Linked DNA regions of Mytilus edulis. The protein of the gene in region 1 binds, or shares a complex with, the protein of each later gene. Links are inferred from orthologs where the notes say so. Each region holds a gene or a part of one and is shown in the gene's direction. Other genes may lie near its edges. The genes, in order: dynein regulatory complex subunit 7-like and dynein regulatory complex protein 8-like.

The links.
Region 2: dynein regulatory complex subunit 7-like (region 1) and dynein regulatory complex protein 8-like share a complex: the UniProt entries of both Homo sapiens proteins name them as parts of the nexin-dynein regulatory complex. The link is inferred for Mytilus edulis from reciprocal best matches to the Homo sapiens genes DRC7 and DRC8.

Annotation. Positions count from the first base shown.
Region 1 is NC_092346.1:2,213,500-2,223,484, reverse strand, and holds the start of dynein regulatory complex subunit 7-like, read left to right. Parts: upstream 1-5,701; 5' UTR 5,702-5,741; coding exon 5,742-5,923; intron 5,924-7,053; coding exon 7,054-7,225; intron 7,226-7,720; coding exon 7,721-7,846; intron 7,847-8,477; coding exon 8,478-8,672; intron 8,673-9,750; coding exon 9,751-9,909; intron 9,910-9,985. Other genes in the region: kanadaptin-like, read left to right, coding at 20-69. UniProt on the Homo sapiens protein: Component of the nexin-dynein regulatory complex (N-DRC) a key regulator of ciliary/flagellar motility which maintains the alignment and integrity of the distal axoneme and regulates microtubule sliding in motile axonemes.
Region 2 is NC_092346.1:91,314,694-91,324,788, reverse strand, and holds the start of dynein regulatory complex protein 8-like, read left to right. Parts: upstream 1-5,782; 5' UTR 5,783-5,856; coding exon 5,857-5,887; intron 5,888-10,095. UniProt on the Homo sapiens protein: Component of the nexin-dynein regulatory complex (N-DRC), a key regulator of ciliary/flagellar motility which maintains the alignment and integrity of the distal axoneme and regulates microtubule sliding in motile axonemes.

The DNA of each region.
Region 1 (9,985 bases):
CCTCTTCTTTCTTTTTCAGATCAGTCAGGAGATGGAAAAACAAGCTTAAATGCAAAGTTGGGCTACTAAAATTTGTTATTGATTATTAATAAATATATTTGTACAATATATGATTTATTATTTTGCTTAAGATATATTATCGTGGAGCCTTTTGTTTGCTAAAAAGTAAAATCACAAAAATACTGAACCCCGAGGAAAATTCAAAACAGAAAGTCACTAATCAAATGGCAAAATCAAAGGATAAAACACATCAAATGAATGGACAACAACTGTCATATTTCTGAATTGGTACAGGCATTTTCAAATGTAGAAAATGTTGGATTGAACCTGGTTTTATAGCACTAAACCTCTCACTTTTATGACAGTCGTATCAAATTCCATTATTTTTACAACGATGCGTGAACAAAACAGACATAATCAGTAAAATAGTCAAAATATGGTTACAGCAGTCATCACTGTGTATATTCTCTATATATCTTTTTGGTCTAGTATTGTTTATGTTATACATGTTTATTATGTTGAATGATGTCATTGAGCCAAAGGTCTAATGTTTTTTTCTTCCGATAGTATCAGGTCTGCACCATAATTGGATGAACAATGTTCTCTGGTTTTTCATCTGAACAGGCCAAAGCACTAGGGCACAGCTAAATAGATTGAAATTTTGGAAATTGGTGTCTGAAATTCTGAATGGATTAAAGGGGAACAACTGACGGTCACATAACAGGATATAAACATAAACATTGATATAAATAGACATGGTCCTCGTGCAAATGGATTTTTCTATGTCTCTTTGATTTCATGTTTTCGGTTAAAAAATAAGTTAATTTACAATTTTTCCTGTAAAAGAATGATTTTTTGTGGATCGAATCAGTCAATTAAATGATTCACCTTTGTTTCACTTTCAATGTTGACATTCTTTTCTTTCAGTAACCTAACACACTTCAATCATGTGTAATCCATCTCTATCTAAGGGGTTAAATTGAAGTTCGCATTAATACAAATTCAATGAAGTCGATTTATTTACTTGCAAGTGAATAACTAATCATCGAAGTTTTCATCACTTATTTTGACAAAATAGAACTACTGGCTGCTTAAATTGAATTATTATTTCACTGTTTCATTTTCATTAATGATTGAACAAAAAATTCAGAAATCAACTTTTGTCGAGCCTGCGATATTTGTTGCAGAAAGCTTGACATTGGGATAGTGAACCGGCGGCGGCAGCAACTTTAGCTAACTTCTTAAAAGGTTTATATTTTAGAAGGTGGAAGACCTGGATGCTTCATACTTTGTATATAGATGCCTCATGATACAAAGTTTCCATCAGTCACATGTCCAATGTCCTTGACCTCATTTTCATGGTTCAGTGACTACTTGAAAAAGTTAAAGATTTTTTGTAATGTTCAATTCTCTTATTATAAGTACTGTAAATTCAGAAATTATTGCGTGCATTTATTATTGCGATTTTGTCATTTTAGACTTAAATGTGGTTTTTATTTTTATGATTTTGACATTTTGAGAAAAATCCTGTTTAATTCATATAAAACATTTCAAAATGCGAGTTTAAATTATTGCGTTTACAACTCTGTTGCATTTTTCGCAATAATAAAAACCTCGCATTAATTTCTGAATTTTCAGTATTAGGATAACTGTATTTGGCATGTGCCTACCTTGCAAGGTCCTCATGCCCGTCAGTCATTTTTCTCTTGACCTCGACCTCGTTTCATGGATCAGTGAACAAGGTTAAGTTTTGGTGATCAAGTCCATATCTCAGATACTATAAGCAATATATAGGTCTAGTATATTCTGTGTATGGAAGCACTGTAAGGTGTACATTTCCAACTGGCAGGTGTCATCTGACCTTGACCTCATTTTCATGGTTCAGTGGTTATAGTTAAGTTTTGTGTTTTGGTCTGTTTTTCTTATACTGTATGCAAAAGGTCTACTTTATTTGGGGAATGGAATGATTGTAAGATGTACATGTCTAGCTGGCAGATAAGATCTGACCCTGACCTCATTTTCATGGTTTAGTAGTCAAAGTTAAGTTTTTGAATTTTGGTCTTTTTTTCTAATACTATATGCAATAGGTCAACTATATTTGGTGTATGGAAATATTTTATGATCTATATATCAGTCGTGCAGGTTTATTTTACCTTGACCTCATTTTCTTGGTTCATTGCTCAGTGTTAAGTTTTTGTGTTGGGTCTGTTTTTCTTAAACTATAAGCAATAGGTCAACTATATTTGTTGTATGGAAGAATTGTTAGCTGTACATGCCTGCCTGGCATGGTTCATTTGCCCTTTACCTCATTTTCGTGGTTCATTGGTCAATGTTTAGTTTTCTTGGTTAATGTTAAGTTTATATGACAGTTGTAATAAAGCTTTATATTAAGACTATCAATATAATATCAATGATTAGTAAAGAAGGCAAGACATTTCAGCGTGTGCACCCTTGTTTAGGTATCTTGTAGCTAAGTGACCCTTAAATGTTTTTTTTTTATCACTCACAATCTTTATCACACTTTGTAATATGACCTTCATTATAAGGAGCAACCATTTGAATTTATGGGGGGGGGGGGGGGGGGGGGCTATGGTTTTTTTTGGAAAAAAAAATTTGTTTCCATTTTTAGGAGAAAAAAATAATTTGTTTTTGATTCTGAGAAAAAAAATTTGTTTGTTTCACCCTCAGCTGCCACTATATGTAATGCTAAAATTGAAAGAAAAAAATTGTTTTCGACTTGGCGAAAAAAATAATTTGTCCAGAAAAAAAAACCATAGCCCCCCTCAGAAAATCAAATGGTTGCTGCCTAAATGCTCATCAATTTAAGTTTAACAGTGAAGTGCATTGGTTTTATTAGTCATGGAGGTCAAATGCTATAGATTTTAAAATATTTTATATTTCTTAGCATCATGATAAGATTTCCTTCCTGACAGGAATTTTCTGTGCTATTGTACATTTCACACAACAAATCCCGTCATCTTCTCCCCCTTAAGTAATCCTAGTCTTGGATAGGGAAAACAACCAAGACCCAAGGAATACAGATAGATATAAATTTTATGCAGAAAACATAAAAAAAAGACATGACAAATACAAATACAAAGATTTTTTATTATAGGATTAAACCGGGGCGATTAACTCACAAACTGAATAAAAGTCCTTATGTAAAGTTTGTGGCTAAGAGCCCCGTTTACACATCAATGACCTCTAGAAAAAATGTGTTTAATTCTTATAATTCTAAAGCCAAATATTCTCGATTTTTATTAACATTTTTTTTGGTGTAAAGCTACTATAATCACCATCACATGCACAACTGACAGGTCGTAACTAAGGAGTTGGCCGCCATCTTGACTTTCTATAATTCATTAATGTTCGATAAATGCAATGGAATCTAAAACAAAATAGCACCTTCCTCCGAAATTTCATTTTTAAAATGAGATATTATTCGAATTTGAAGCTAGACGTATTAAACGAAATGATCTTTCCCCTGAAAGTTTTCATTCGTATGACGTTGTGTTTTGCCATGACGACAATTCGCCAAATCCTTCATGAAATTTCGCAGAATTTTATTTAAATTAATTTTTATACATTTTCGTAGCTTTAGTGCATTCATTTAATTTCTTTTTTGTTATTATGCATTAGAATAGAAACAACTGTTATGCATTTGTTTTTTTAAATCTCAATTTGCTGAAATTCCCAGTATCCCTGCAAGAATGTGTATCACGCATGAATAGATTACGAAAGTAGATTTGGAAACATGGTTTATCGAAGTGTAAACCTAGAGAAAAATTCTAATTGACCAATTAAATTCAAGTATTTATAGATATGCAAATCATATAAGAATTATTGTCAAACATGATGCCCAATAATTTTAGCAGTCCAATTAAGTTCAATTTCATACAAGTGATTACATATTGATTACATTGATTATTTAACAATTAAACAAAATCAAGTCTTTCTCAGCAGAATAATTTCTACAGGAATAATATGTATAGTTTTACAATATAATATAGATGGACAAACTACTGGTGACGTAATTGTTTCTAGTATTTAATTTCTCTCTTTGAATAAAGTACACAATAAACTTACTTTTTAAATTATAACATTATCCTTAGATGACATTAACCATATTAATTTTGATTTAGTTGGGAGGCTTTTAAAGTTTTTGTTTACCTTATTTAAGTAATTTATATATTCAGATCTTTTATTTTCTAAAACAGGACACTGAAGAAGAAAATGAATTTCATCTTCAACTTCGGTGTTGCATAATTTACATATTCTATCCTCCACTCGAGGCCCCAAATATCTGCCTCTTTCAATTTCTAATTTATGTGCACTGACTCTGAACTTAGTGAGCAGTCACCTTTCATCGTCATTCAAAATTAATAAATATTTTTCCATACAAATATTTTCTTTACATAATCTGTAAGTTCTTAGTTTATTTCCATGCTGTTTATTTTGTCTATCATTGTAAAGTTCAGATTTCCAAATACAAGAATATTTCAGTTTTAATTTCCGGTAAATTAGGGATTTTAAATCCATCTTTGAATTTTTAACAAGTTTAAGATCTATATATCAAGATATTTCATAAGAATAACAATACAACTATACCAACTATTTTTGTTTAAACTATTTAGTGATGTAGAGACACTCAGAGCTTCAGAGAGAAGGATATCATCAGTCTTTAATACATATTTATAATATCTAAACATATTTAAAATTACTTCAAGAAATAAGGGACAAAACTATAATAGAAGAAGGGCGAAAGATACAAGAGGGACATTCAAACTCATAGATTAAAAAATAAACTGACAACGCCATGACTACAAGGCAATAGACAAACAGACAGACAATAGTACACAAAATACAAAAATAAAGACTAATCAACACTTACCCCACCAAAAACGGGGTATTAATCTCAAGTGCTCCTGAAAGGCACCCATTGTATTGTTTATGTTATTACAAACCCTGTAAAAAGTATAATTTTGGTAGTTATAATAATTGGGTTTTTTTTATCATTTCTTTCGTTTTTATATTAGATCTCCAGAGGTAATTACAAAAACAAACTGATTATAAAATAGTACTATTCTAACAAAAATGCTGAACTCCAGAGTAATGAAAAAAGATGAAGCTCACAAAACAGGACAAAAACGAACACCAACTAAGAATTTAACAAAATTAAACAATTCTGCACTATTCACATCATATTCATAAAAATTCAAAATAGATAACTTCAAAATTTAAGAGTAGTCTAGTGGTTTTAATTTTAAATATTTAGATTTTTTTTATATATAAAATTATAAACAATTATAATCCTGGTACTTTTGATAACTATTCCCAAACATAAAAAAAGACACCTACGTCCCTGGACTAAGTACTAGTCTTATTTAAATTTTCTGATTTGTAATATTTGAGATCAGAACTATGTCAAGCTTTTTTTGAAAGCTAACTTTGTAACTAAAACAAGGGAAATAACTGTAAAAGATTACCGGAAGTAAATTAATAGATTAATGCGCGACTATCTTTAATTAGCAATTAATTGTTTTATGATTTCCAGAAGTATTTTATGCAATTTAAATACCATGATTTGTTATGCTTTAAATTTTGACTAGCATTACGTACATATCTATTTTCTGAGCGATCATGATTTTTATATTGTCGATGCACTATATTTCAAAGAGAGTTTGTTGCTATGAGCGCGTATTGTGTTTAAATAATGAGTTGTTCGTCTCGTTTGTAAAATCATGGCTTCGGAGGACGAATTCGCTTTACCGAGTGAAGATACAAAGACCCCCGATCCAGATAAAGATGAAGATGAACTAGGAGAAGAAGCTGAAGGCAAAACAGCCGAAGAATTAACCGACGATGCTGAGGCGTTGAAAAAGGAGCTTGACAAAATAGTGGTGCATCCTCCAACGATTCAAGAGTAAGGCAATGTTTTGATGCATTATATCCATTGCCAAGAATAAGTTAAAGAGCGAATTGTAAATAAACAAATTAATAAAAAAAACTATGCCCTCAATATGGTCATCACCACAACTTAATTAGCTGACTGTCAGCATGGTTTTATATCTGTATCTGTATGGGTACGTCGTAGCTACCAATAGGGCTCTTCACGGTTAGTTCGGCCATATTGGATAGGGGGCAGATTTTTTGGAAGGAGGTGGAAATGGTATGAAAGTGTGGGAAATCCTATGTGTGTTTCCAAGCAACAGCTCTGTTTTAATGATGTTTTCCCGTATTTTTCACACCATTTTTACCTCTATTATGAAAATCTGCTCCCTATCCAATATGGCCGAACTAACCGTGAAGAGCCCTATTCTGGCTTTTATACAACGGGAGTGAAGGCGCCGTCGATTTATTGATGTTTCACCAGAGCAGATTTAAAGCTCTCTACACTTGTTGCGCGAACAATAGTGTCTTCTAGATGGTTCCAATTTACTATTGTGGACACAAAAAATGAATTTGAATGTTGCGGTGTTTTACTAGTAGGAATGTCAAAACACCTGGTATTGTTCCTCACATGTTTTTCAACTATGTTTGTGGCTTGAAAATTTTTAGCTGTGATGGTTCGTCTTGGTCTTGCTGATTTGAGGAAGTCGTCTGGATCAATAGCGGGGCTCATGCGTCTCAATTTTAGTTCCTGTAGCTCTATTTTTGTAAGCATGTTTGTTATGCAGCCTAGTTCTGTAGTCGCCTGTTATAAAGCGTGCTGCTTGCCTTTGTATTCGTTCTAGCTTGTTTGAAACTTGTATCTGTTCTGTTTTGATATCACAGGCACTTACTACTGCTAGTTGCTACATAAACTATCATATGATTCAAAGATACCAGGCTTATAATTTTGTATATCAAATATTTATCAGTAAAACCAGAATCAGAAAAGTGCCAAATAAAGAAAGAGTTTATAAAACTAATCCCACAGTGGATATCAAAAGACCAATATACATACAAATAAATTATATATACATGTATCCTTACATTGAGTGCATGCTTTATCTAGTTATTAGACCAGTCTTCACATCTAATGAATTTGATTTAATGCTGATTTTTTTCCAGACTAACAGCCCAGGAATTTGATCCAGCAGAATTCCCTGCTTCCTATAAAGACAATTTACCAAAAGAAAACTTGGTGCTACAATATGCAGAAAATTTTAGACTACAATATGTACACTTATACAGAGACAGGAAACCTCTTCTTCTCAACCCAATCAATGAATGTGGGACAGAGGTAATTAATTATGAATGAGGCTCTTACAAAATACATGTTTTTCTGCTATAAACCCGACCAACTCTAATCCTCAGATTATTTTGTTATTATTGCAAAAGCTCTTTTAAAATCAGATTGTTTTCCCTGTTTAAACCAGTTAAAAAATGCTTGAAAAATAAATTCATTCTCCTACATAACCTATTTTTCAGCATGATAACTGAATAAAACAGAAACCCAGGTATTACATGTACATGTAATATTATTTTGGTCAATAGATTAAATCACTTTTGTATAAGAATTTTCTAAAACCTGAATTATTAATTATATGACCACTGAGTTTGATATTTTTTTCTTGTATGTATGATGAGTTCACCATTGATCACTGCAAAAGAGAGTTTAGAAGGGTTTATTTAACAGGCTGTATTGCTTTCTTCATGTTAAAATTTCTATTTTATTTGTAAATTACATTTAATAAATGCATGTATGTATATATATATATTTTATTTGTGATTTTAGAAATTTGTATGTACAACCATCAGACCAACACAGATTGAATTTAAAGAATTTTACGGTTGGGAGGGAAGTTCAGAATTTGTTGCAGATTATCTGAATTTTGAGACATTAGAGCCTCCATATGAATTGGTAATTGTCATAATTTACAACAACAATTTTACATCAGTCAAATGGTAGTTTAAATTAACATCTTAATAATAAAAAAATTTATGTTTTATTTGGTTACAAGTCTCAATGATTTATTAAATTAAGTAGTAAATGCAGAGGTTTCATAATGCAAAATGTGAAAAATACAAAATATGAAATTTATTAGTTTGACTCATGTCATTTATTGACAAATTTATGTTATTAAATATCCAAATAGTAAAAATGTGCATTATAATCATTTTGATGTGAACCAATCCAATGAAAAATGTGTTGAGTTTCTGATTTAACAGTATTATTTTTTGTACTTTTATTACATCAAGTCAAGATTTAACCATAGATTATTTTTTTGTTAGTAACTATATTCTTTAAGCTTCAAAATATAATAAACTTGTGTAAAGATATAACATCCCATAAAAGAGAAACTTACCAGTACTCTTGATCAATATAAATCATAAAGAATACATTTTCTGTCCTAACAAAATTAAGACTTATATGGTTCTAGAGTCAGGATAGAGATGCCATAACATTTTATATTTGATTACTTGTTTCATTTGAAAAAATAAATGGTAGTGATAACATTGAATTGTATTGATATCTTTGTCTTTTTTTCCAGCCAAAGAGGTTGATATCGCCACCATCTGTTTTAAAACGTCAGAAAGGGAATTGTTTTGAGTACAGTACATTGCTGTGTTCCCTGTTAGCTGGAGCCGGTTACGATTCTTACGTTGTCAGCGGGTATGCTACACATGAGACATGTCTCGCAGACGAATCGAGGGAGATCTGTCCACTGATGAAAAAGAAAGAAGAGGTTTGAATATATATAAAATAAATATATAAAATGAATATATATATAAAATGAATACATATAAAATGGATATATATAAAAATGAATATATATAAAATGAATATATATAAAATGAATATATAAAATACAATACCACTTAATTGAAAAATTACAATATTCTGTTTTTTTAAACTTCGAGCAGAACAGACTGTCTTAATATTATTTATACCTTTAGAAAATGTAACTTATTGTTAAAATGCAGAACTTTGTTCTTGCACATTCATCATTTGTGTTATTTTGTCAAAAATTTTGTACTGTATACAAGGAAACTTCTGTTTGCTGGTTATTTTTATGCCCCACTTACGATAGTAGAGGGGCATTATGTTTTCTGGTCTGTTCGTTTGTCCGTTTCGTCTGTCCCGCTTCAGGTTAAAGTTTTTTGTCAAGGTAGTTTTTGATGAAGTTGAAGTCCAATCAACTTGAAACTTAGTATACATGTGCCCTATGGTATGATCTTTCTAATTTAAATGCCAAATTAGAGTTTTGACCCCAATTTTACGGTTCACTGGACATAGAAAATGATAGTGCGAATTTCAGGTTAAAGTTTTTGGTCAAGGTAGTTTTTGATAAAGTAGAAGTCCAATCAACTTGAAACTTAATATACATGTTCCCTTTGATAAGATCATTCTAATTTTAATGCCAAATTAGAGAATTTATTCCAATTTCACGGTCCACTAAACATAGAAAATTATAGTGCGAGTGGGGCATCCATGTATTGTGGACACGTTCTTGTTTTTTATTTAATTCACAATCATATAAAATATGTGTCATAATCATTCTTGAAAGGGTTTACAGATAGACTCAATATTGATTTGCATTAAAAATGTATCATTAACGCGAGAATTTAGTACTCACATGGAAATTAAGATGCTGAAATTATCAACAGTTTTAACCTTTACAATATATAAATGTGCATGTATGTTTTGAGTATAATACATTTCCTAAGCAACATTCAATTATGTCATACACATCATTATAAATTTACCAAAACCAGTGAAACAACAATTTAAACTTTCGATTTAATATTTATTTGGATAAACAGAAAAAAGAAGAAGAGAAGAAAAAAGAAATAAAGAAATATACAGTTAAACCTCCTCGTGATTTGAGGAGTAAATTTGAATTGAAGCAGGCGGCCAAAGAAAAAGCTGAAAAAGAAGCAGAGGAAGAGAAAAGGAGAAAAGAGGAAGAAGACAAAATTGCTGTAAATATTTTAATATTTTGTAAAGTTGGTCATCATTTATAAAATTGTTTTATTGACAGTTTAGTAAATTTTGGGA
Region 2 (10,095 bases), about 89 Mb from region 1:
TTTTGCATTGTTTGGGAATGTTATCGTTGTGTTCTTCATTTCGCATTGTTTGGAAATGTTAACGTTTTGTTCCTCATTTTGCATTGTTTGGGAAAATGTTATCGTTGTGTTCTTCATTTTGCATTGTTTGGGAATGTTATCGTTATGTTCTTCATTTTGCATTGTTTGGGAATGTTATCGTTGTGTTCTTCATTTTGCATTGTTTGGGAATGTTATCGTTGTGTTCCTCATTTTGAATTGTTTGGGAATGTTATCGTTGTGTTCCTCATTTTGCATTCTTTGGGAATGTTATCGTTGTGTTCTTCATTTTGCATTGTTTGGGAATGTTATCGTTGTGTTTCTCCATTTGCATTGTTTGGGAATGTTATTGTTGTGTTCTTCATTTTGCATTGTTTGGGAATGTTAACGTTGTGTATCTCATTTTGCATTGTTTGGGAATGTTATCGTTGTGTTTCTCATTTTGCATTGTTTGGGAATGTTATCGTTGTGTTTCTCCATTTGCATTGTTTGGGAATGTTAACGTTGTGTTCTGCATTTTGCATTGTTTATGGTGTTATCGTTATGTTCTTCATTTTGCATTGTTTATGGTGTTATCGTTGTGTTCTTCTGTTCTTCATTTTGCATTGTTTATGGTGTTATCGTTGTGCTCTTTATGTTGCATTATTCGTGGTGGTATCGTTATATTCTTCATTTTGCATAGTTCGTGGTGATATTGTTATGTTCTTCATTTTTCATTGTTCTTTGTGTTATCGTTATGTTCTTCATCGTGCAATGTTTGGGGTGTTATCGTTTTGTTTTTCAAATTGCATTGTTCGTGGTGTTGTCGTTTTGTTCTTCATTTTGCATTGTTGTAGTGTTGTTGATATGTTCTTCATTTTGCATTGTTCATGATGTTATCGTTATGTTCTTCATTTTGCATTGTTTTGGGTGTTGTCTGTATAATATTCTTTTGTTTTTGCTTTGTTCGTGTTGACCAGAACAATTTGTACAAACTTGTAAATGCAGAAAAACAAAAGAACCAATAACGTTCCTTCAAACGAGGTGATGTTAGTCATCATATATACAAGTCGTACAGTCTGTGTTACGTGTTCCATCTTAGACCAGAGCTGAGCGCTCAAACAATCATGTTTAACCCGCAACATTCCTTGTGTGCCTGTCTGAAGGTCAGAAAATATAAGTCATATTTGTTGTTGGTTGATGTTCCCAAAAATATTTTAGCACATAGCATAACTGTAGTTGAAATCAGGTCGTTGATGTTCTCTTTAGAATGTTTGCACATTTAGAAATTAGGTGTCTGTTATGGTTTACTTTATACACGGTTAAATGTGAGTTTTTTGGTGTTTATGGCTATTTGTTTCATTGGCAATCATAACACATCTTCTTATTTCTATATAAATCGTGTTCATGAAAAGATTGCGTTTGAAGTTATATTAGAAATGTTTGATATGATTATCACCAATATTCTATGCATTTAAAAAAAAAAAGAAAAGAACCTTATAATTTTTCTCAGCAACACAATTTCAATTCAGAGGGAATACAACCTGTAATTAGTTGTCATTGTCGTTTTTTTTTTCTTTCTTATTTTCTTTTCTTTTCTTTTATTGTTTTGAATTGTATTTAGACAATATACGTATAGTGTCTTGAAATATGAAATTTATTTGTATGAGGCTTAGAAACGGGAAAATGCGAGGTTCTACATTGATTCGGCAAAATATCCTTATCGTGATTCGTCAGAAGTGTTATATTAAGGTATATAGGGGGATCTGAGACAAATACCTGTGATGGCAACAGCAGAGGCGGATTTAGGGGGGGCCCAGGGGGCCCGGCCCCCCCCCTTTTTGGGGAAAAAATTTGGTTGCTTATATAGGGAATCACTGAAGCGTGACTGGAGCGGGCCCCCTCTTAGGTCAGTCAGTGGGCCCCCACTTATGAAAATTTCTGGATCCGCCACTGAACAAGGAAGTTTATTCCATGTCCATATTCTCCCTTTGTCAATATCAACTTTAATAGCAGTTTCTTCCGATTGAATTATTGTTCTTTAAAATAAATTTAGCAGAACTTCGGTTGTTTTTCGAAAGAGGATTTCTGATTGTCAAATTGTAGAAATGTCAATTTTGTACCTGTAAATCTGAAAATATTGATTTCTTTCTTATTGATCTCTATCATGAAAGTATGTCTGATTTAGGTCCTATATATACTCATCGTCTCTTGTTCGTTGTGGAGGTTTGCAATGTCAGGTAGGCACGACTTGCCTGTTATCTTTAGCCTTTGGCACTACCTGACAATGTAAAATCTTCGTTTTGACATACGGAACATATAAGTTCTTGGGGACAGAACAGTTACAAGATTTTTTTTTTGTTAACCTTTTTTTCTCTAAATCCGTTAGGTTTTGGTTTTCCATTTATTTCAATAAGTTTCGTGCTTTGCAAATCAATATGAACATAAATATGCTAGAAATAACTTTAATTTGCTGTTTCCTATCAATTCCTAGTTTATTCTCCATGTGCGATCAGTGATAATATAAAAAACATGTTAATTATTTAATTGAGAAAATTTAATCGAATAGAAATCTAATCAAAAATTATTCATGGAATTAGAAAAAAAAACCATTTTAACTGCTTTATAATATAATAAGATGTGATGATTTTAACGATCTTGTAATGTAACTGATAAAATTAAACACCACAAAAATATGAAAATATTTTAAAATTGAAATCTTTTTTATTTTAAAATATAATTTGGTGCCGAATTGACCATGAATGTGGAATGCTATATTGAGTATATATGTCTTTTTAAGTATATATAGATATATAAACATTTTATTCATCATTGTGCGAAGTGTTCCTTTGAAGGAGAGATTTTCTTAACCAGAACAGAATACATTTTTAGACTCCTAAATTCGTGAAGCAGGCCAAATCGCCCCACTGGCAAATCGCCCCAACTCGCCCCTTAAAAAAACTAATCTACACAGAATGCAAAAAAAAAAGAAAATTTATTTTATTATTATTATTGAAATCAAATGATGTTTTACTAAATCTGAAATTATAATTCTAAATATTAAGGATTTCAATTAACAGCAATTTGTTATCATAGCACTTACTTTGAGTCCAAATAATAATGACGTCTGGCAAGGCTATTTTTTTTCTTTCTGCGACGCCTTCCTACGTAATAGCCTTGTCAGACGTCATAATTATTTGGACTAAGCATTTACCGGATTGGTTACTTTTGTCTTTGAATCATTGAAGTTAAGAATAATCCAACCCTAACGAGCAATCATTGAAGACAAATGTTACTTTCAAGTAAATATTAGAGAGAATGCCCATTCGTTCATTTACAAAAAAAATGAAAACAGAATCGCATAGTAAAATTAATAAACAGTACAGGGAAACAAAAAAACTGATTCAGAAAGAGACAAGAAAAGCTTATTGGACATATCTGGAAAACATCATTTGTTACGACGAAAGCTTACAAACCTCGCAAAAACAGAAACAAAATTGGAATTATATTAGGTCCACCAAAAAAGACAGTTCGGGAGTTGCACAATTAAGATCTGAGGGTATGCTGATAGACGACACAAAACAAAAAGCTGAAATACTCAATAAACAAAACCACTCTGTTTTTACACCTGAAAATAATAAAAAAAAAAAAAAAAAAAAAAAATACCAACTCTATCAGACAACTTTCTATCTATGGCCGAAATTCATGTTACACCAAATGGCATAGAAAAACTTTTGAAAAATCTTGATACATCTAAAGCTACAGGTCCAGACGAAATACCAGCACGCATTCTTAAACAATTTGCACCTGAATTTGCACCTCATCTCGCTTTCATCTTCAATACATCTTTCTTGAAAGGAGATGTGTCAACAGACTGGAGACAGGCAAATGTGATCCCTATTTTAAAAAAAAAGGCGAAAAATACCTAGCCAGTAACTACAGACCTGTCTCCCTAACCTGCATTTGCTGCAAACTGCTTGAACACATTGTTGTAAGTAACATACTGAAACATCTGGACACACATAACATCCTTGTGGATAATCAACATGGCTTCAGATCTAAACGCAGCTGTGAAACACAACTACTTACTTTATGTCATGAACTACTTAGTAACCTCCATCATGGCGTACAAACCGATCTTATTATTTTAGACCTTTCCAAGGCATTTGACAAGGTACATGTACCTCACAAAAAAACTATTAAGGAAGATGGATAACTATGGCATAAGAGGAAATACCTGGAATTGCCGGGGTCCTTAATAACAGAACGCAACAGGTTGCCCTTGACGGAGAGGTATCTAGTCAAATGCCTGTGGTAAGTGGGGTGCCCCATGGCTCAGTCTTGGGTCCACTACTTTTTCTCATCTTCATTAATGACCTACCTGCAGCAGTAACACCAAAAACACGCTTGTTTGCAGATGATGGTATCTTATACAGAAACATAACAAATCACCAAGATAGTACCATACTACAAATTGACCTAAACTGCCTAGCCAAATGGGAACAAACTTGGGGTATGCAATTCCATCCAGAAAAATGCAACTCTCTCACTGTGACAAGATCACAGTCACCATTCAAACATGACTACGTATTAAAAGGCCACATTTTAGAATCCGTCAGCACAATTATCTCGGTATCACCCTTTCTCACAACATGTCTTGGGACACACATATCAACAACATTACTGCAAAAGCAAATAAGATCTTAGGCTTTCTTAAAAGAAACTTAAAAATAAACCAGGAAGAAACAAAAAGTTTAGCATACAAATCCATGGTACGTTCGAATTTAGAATACTGCTCTTCAGTTTGGTCCCCTCACACCCAAAAACAAAAAAAAAACAACATTGAAAAAGTACAAAGAAGGGCAGCACGCTACGTCACCAACAGGTACCACAACACCAGTAGTGTCACTCCCATGATTGACTATCTTCAATGGAAGTCACTTGAAACTCGCAGAAACATCAATCGAGTAACTATGCTGTACAAAATCTCACACCATCTCATTGCAGTAGACCCAAACCTTTACCTTTTACCACAGCCAGTCAAAAACACCAGATTCACTAATTCATTACAATACCAAACATTTAACACAAGAACAGATTACTTCAAGTACAGCTTTTTTCCATTCACAGTTGTACTGTGAAATTCACTTCCACAAAACGTCATCAGTGTTAACTCCCTGGATCAGTTTAAAATACTGATCCAGAGTCAGTATATTTAGATATCCAACCTGTTTGTAAATATGTAAATGTGTTAATTTTTGTTTTGTTTTTGCACAAAATTATTTTTGAATTATTGCACTCATTGGTTATTACATTTTATTAAGTGTCTGTTTGCGATGCGCCGACGTATAGTCATCAATGTAATGATGGATCGTCGTATGATGTAGATGAAGATGTACAATAAGCGTGGGTCTTGTTTTTGTTAGTAAAAAGACAAGGCAGGTTTTATTGTTGATGAAAATTTGATTGGTAAGTTTTTTTTATGGTTTGAAAACATACATAAATGAGAAATTTATAAGTGGGGCGAGTTGGCATTAATAATTTTTTATCGTGGTTTTTCTATTTGTCATGATTCAGATTGGGGCTAGTTGGCAGACCTTAAGGATTTTAACCCTTTTCATAATTGGGACAATTTATCCAACCTATTTTCAATAGAATTTTACCCTTTTCATAAGTGGGGCGAGTTGGTAAACCAGAGTGGGGCGATTTGTGGAAAAGTGGTGCGATTAGGTGTGGGGCGATTTTCCAGTGGGACGATTTGTCATTGATTCCTAAATTCGTTTTCCCTACAAATCGCACTTGTCACAGGGGGAGATAATTACAAGTCAAGGTCACTGATTAGCAACCAATATAAACAAGATGGGTGATGCTGAACAGAAGGAAAACGCGGGTAGGAATTCACAATCACGATCCCATCATTATTAAACAACTTCTCCATAAATATATACCCTTACTGATGAAGGTCGAGGAAATAAATTTGCAGTTTTGAATCATAAATTATCCTAATATTTGTATGAAACTTTCACGAGAACCAATTTTTTTTTTATATTGTTATTATTTTCAGATGCACAGCTTGCTGGTAGTTGTATAAATTAAAGCAACAGCAGGATAACGATAAGCAATTGAACTAAATCGATCCAGCAAAAACAAACTGGTTAAAACTAAAACCCAGGGGAAACACATCGGAAACACATCAACGACATATATGATATAGGAGGAAAACAACTGAAAAAAAAAACCAAACATGTATGATACAAAAAAAGGACTAATTGATAACAACTACCATATTCCTGACTGGATACAGAACATTTTAAGAAATAAATAGTTGGCTGAACCTTGTATTATGGTTAGCAAAAACTTGTGGTTTTATGGTTTATAGCCAAAACTCATGCTAAATAAATATATGCCACTGTTAAAAATACAACTAAACAGACAACATTTTGTAAAGGATGGGTCTCAATTTGGGTCCAAGTTGACACGATTTGGCCAATTTTTTTAAGCCTGACACATGAATGTCTCATATTTAAGTGTGAAAAAGGGATACAAAGTCTAGCGGGACATTGGAAATTACATGAGTTATTACGGCAAAGAGAAACCTAAAACAGGATTCTCACTAAACAATTTGCGGGATCTTGGATCAGACCCCCTTCACAAATGTGACCCCCTATAAGGAATACATTACAAATTAAAACAGGAACAATTTATAATAGAACAGAGATATACATGTGGTAATTTTAAGATATTAATTTGAAAGATCAGACACACCATTAGGTGGTGTCACCATGTGCACAATATTCTTTTTAACAGTATGTAACTATAGTAAGTAATGAATCTAAAGGAGCTGAAATTGAAATGACATTATCTTTTACAAAGGGGGTGTTGGTAAGTAATATGTTTGGTCATGTTGGTAAATGTATGTTTGCTTTGTTTTTGCAAAGAATTTTTTATACATATATTACATAAATACAAGACAAATAAAATTAAAGCTTCTCAATTATATAATTGCAATAAAACCAAGATCAGCCAGGAGCCTAAAATTTTGCTGGCAAAACGATGATTTAAATCTTTAAAAAAATTTGAGAATCTCTAAAATCTAAATCTACCTGGCCGACTACTTCATAGCAAAGTATTAACATTCAAAACAATTCAAATAGTAATCTTAGCCTCTGTTTGAATTATCATTTTACAACGATTTTTATCTCGCATAATCTGTGGAATTTTTATATTCATTGACTAAAAATTGAAAAATAAAAGGGTAGAAGGACAGCTGATGGATAATGTGATTGCAAATGTACGACACATGGCCAGCTTGTGATCAGCATTATATTCGACAAAAATCTCTTATGTTTGTATTGTAATATCATTATGTGTACTGAATCAAAATAAAACATTTATATTCAGCAGTGGATTTTATTCAGGTCCATTTCTTAATAAAGAAGATATCTATTATATAAAAAAAGAAAGAAGTTTGCTCCACATATCTTCATTTATAAGCTTATATCTTTCACAGGAATCCCAATTTACAACTGACATGATGTTCTTGACATTCACAAATGTTTTACAAAATAATGACAAGTTGTGATATAAATTATATTGTACAGTCATGTGGAATTCATCAGATAAACTGGACTTTAAAAACTAAATTAAGGCAGCTTCACATGAAATGAAGGCAATCATGATATACCTAGCCTACTACTGGATGTCCAAGGAACACATTTTATTTAAGTTTAATTTAAAGTTGACAGTATGAATGAATAAATAAATAACAACTATATATTGTCTAAAGCTTTATTAAGATTTTTCAATAATTACATTTGTACAATATCATATGAAACAACTGCAAGTATATTTTTTTGTTGCATATACAAAAAAATTCTCTTAAGCAGGAAAACACCATGCAACCAAAACGTTTCCGAATTTCACTTCTCAAAGAAATTGGCCACTTCTCCATACTCTCTCATGGAAGCAGTTCTCCCTCTCCAAAACTAGATTAGACCCTTAAGATAACATCCCTTTCAGTATACATTAAATACTGTTAGATAGTTTATGCCCTTTTGAAGTTTTGGTTCTATGCCTAACCGTTTTATGCATTTGCCTTCTGAACTTTTTTGGTCTTGAGCTACCTATTAAAGGTTATTCCAGAAACATTTGTACTTTTAAAATTAAGAATGTTATGGTACAGTCATTTTCCTTCGGAAAGTGATTAGTTCAACCAGTTTTTACAGCATTATCAGGGGTTGGTCCAGGATTTGAGTTTTAGGGTGTAAACCTTATAATTTTGCCAACCTCTGAGCAAGTTAGATTTTTTTTCTATTTTTAGTATGCCCAAGTTTAATTTTTTCCATTTTAAGGGTTCCACAAAGGCGTACTTAAACCCTACCTGACTTTGCCCATGATTAAACCAGTAACAAAATGTGCAGTCTTTAAAGTTTCATTGTTTTGCATTTGCTGTGAATGCTTGTTAATGTTGCTGATTCATGAATATTCTGTTATTTACATGTTTTGACACTAAAGTCAATTGTGTGATGTTTTTATACGACCGCAAAATTTGAAAAATTTTTCGTCGTATATTGCTATCACGTTGGCGTCTGCGTCGTCGTCGTCGTCCGGCGTCCGAATACTTTTAGTTTTCGCACTCTAACTTTAGTAAAAGTGAATGGAAATCTATGAAATTTTAACACAAGGTTTATGACCACAAAAGGAAGGTTGGTATTGATTTTGGGAGTTTTGGTCCCAACATTTTAGGAATTAGGGGCCAAAAAGGGCCCAAATAAGCATTTTCTTGGTTTTCGCACTATAACTTTAGTTTAAGTTAATAGAAATCTATGAAATTTTGACACAAGGTTTATGACCACAAAAGAACGGTTGGGATTGATTTTGGGAGTTTAGGTTTCAACAGTTTAGGAATTAGGGGCCAAAAAAGGGCCCAAATAAGCATTATTCTTGGTTTTCGCACAATAACTTTAGTTTAAGTAAATAGAAATCAATGAAATTTGAACACAATGTTAATGACCACAAAAGGAAGGTTGGTATTGATTTTGAGAGTTTAGGTCCCAACAGTTTAGGAATTAGGGGCCAAAAAGGGACCCAAATAAGCATTTTTCTTGGTTTTTGCACCATAACTTTAGTATAAGTAAATAGAAATCTATGAAATTTAAACACAAGGTTTATGACCATAATAGGAAGGTTGGGTTTGATTTTGTGAGTTTTGGTCCTAACAGTTTAGGAATAAGGGGCCCAAAGGGTCCAAAATTGAACTTTGTGTGATTTCATCAAAAATTGAACAATTGGGGTTCTTTGATATGCCGAATCTAACTATGTATGTAGATTCTTAATTTTTGGTCCCGTTTTCAAATTGGTCTACATTAAGGTCCAAAGGGTCCAAAATTAAACTTAGTTTGATTTTACAAAAATTGAATCCTTGGGGTTCTTTGATATGCTGAATTTAAAAATGTACTTAGATTTTTAATTATTGGCCTAGTTTTCAAGTTGGTCCAAATGGTGTTCCAAAATTAAACTTTGTTTGATTTCATCAAAAATTGAATAAATGGGTTCTTTGATATGCCAAATCTAACTGTGTATGTAGATTCTTAATTTTTGGTCCAGTTTTCAAATTGGTCTACATTAAGGTCCAAAGGGTCCAAAATTAAACTAAGTTTGATTTTAACAAAAATTAAATTCTTGGGCTTATTTGATATGCTTTATCTAAATATGTACTTTGATTTTTGATTATGGGCCCAGTTTTCAAGTTGGTCCAAATCAGGATTCCATATCAAGTATTGTGCGATAGCAAGAAATTTTCAATTTGCACAGTATTGCACAATAGCAAGAAATATCTAATTGCACAATATTGTACTATAGCAATTAATTTTCAATTGGAGTTATCTTTCTTTGTATAGAATAGTAGTTGATAATATATGTTGGAAATTTGCCAGACATGACTATGATGTCATTTTCTATTTTTATTTGCCAATAACTTTATGTAAATAACTTCATTGGAAATTTGCCAATATAAAATGTTGCTGATGAAGCTTTTTTTCCTTATCTTATCTAAAATGTTTTTAGATAATGTATGTTGGACATTTGCCAGACATGACT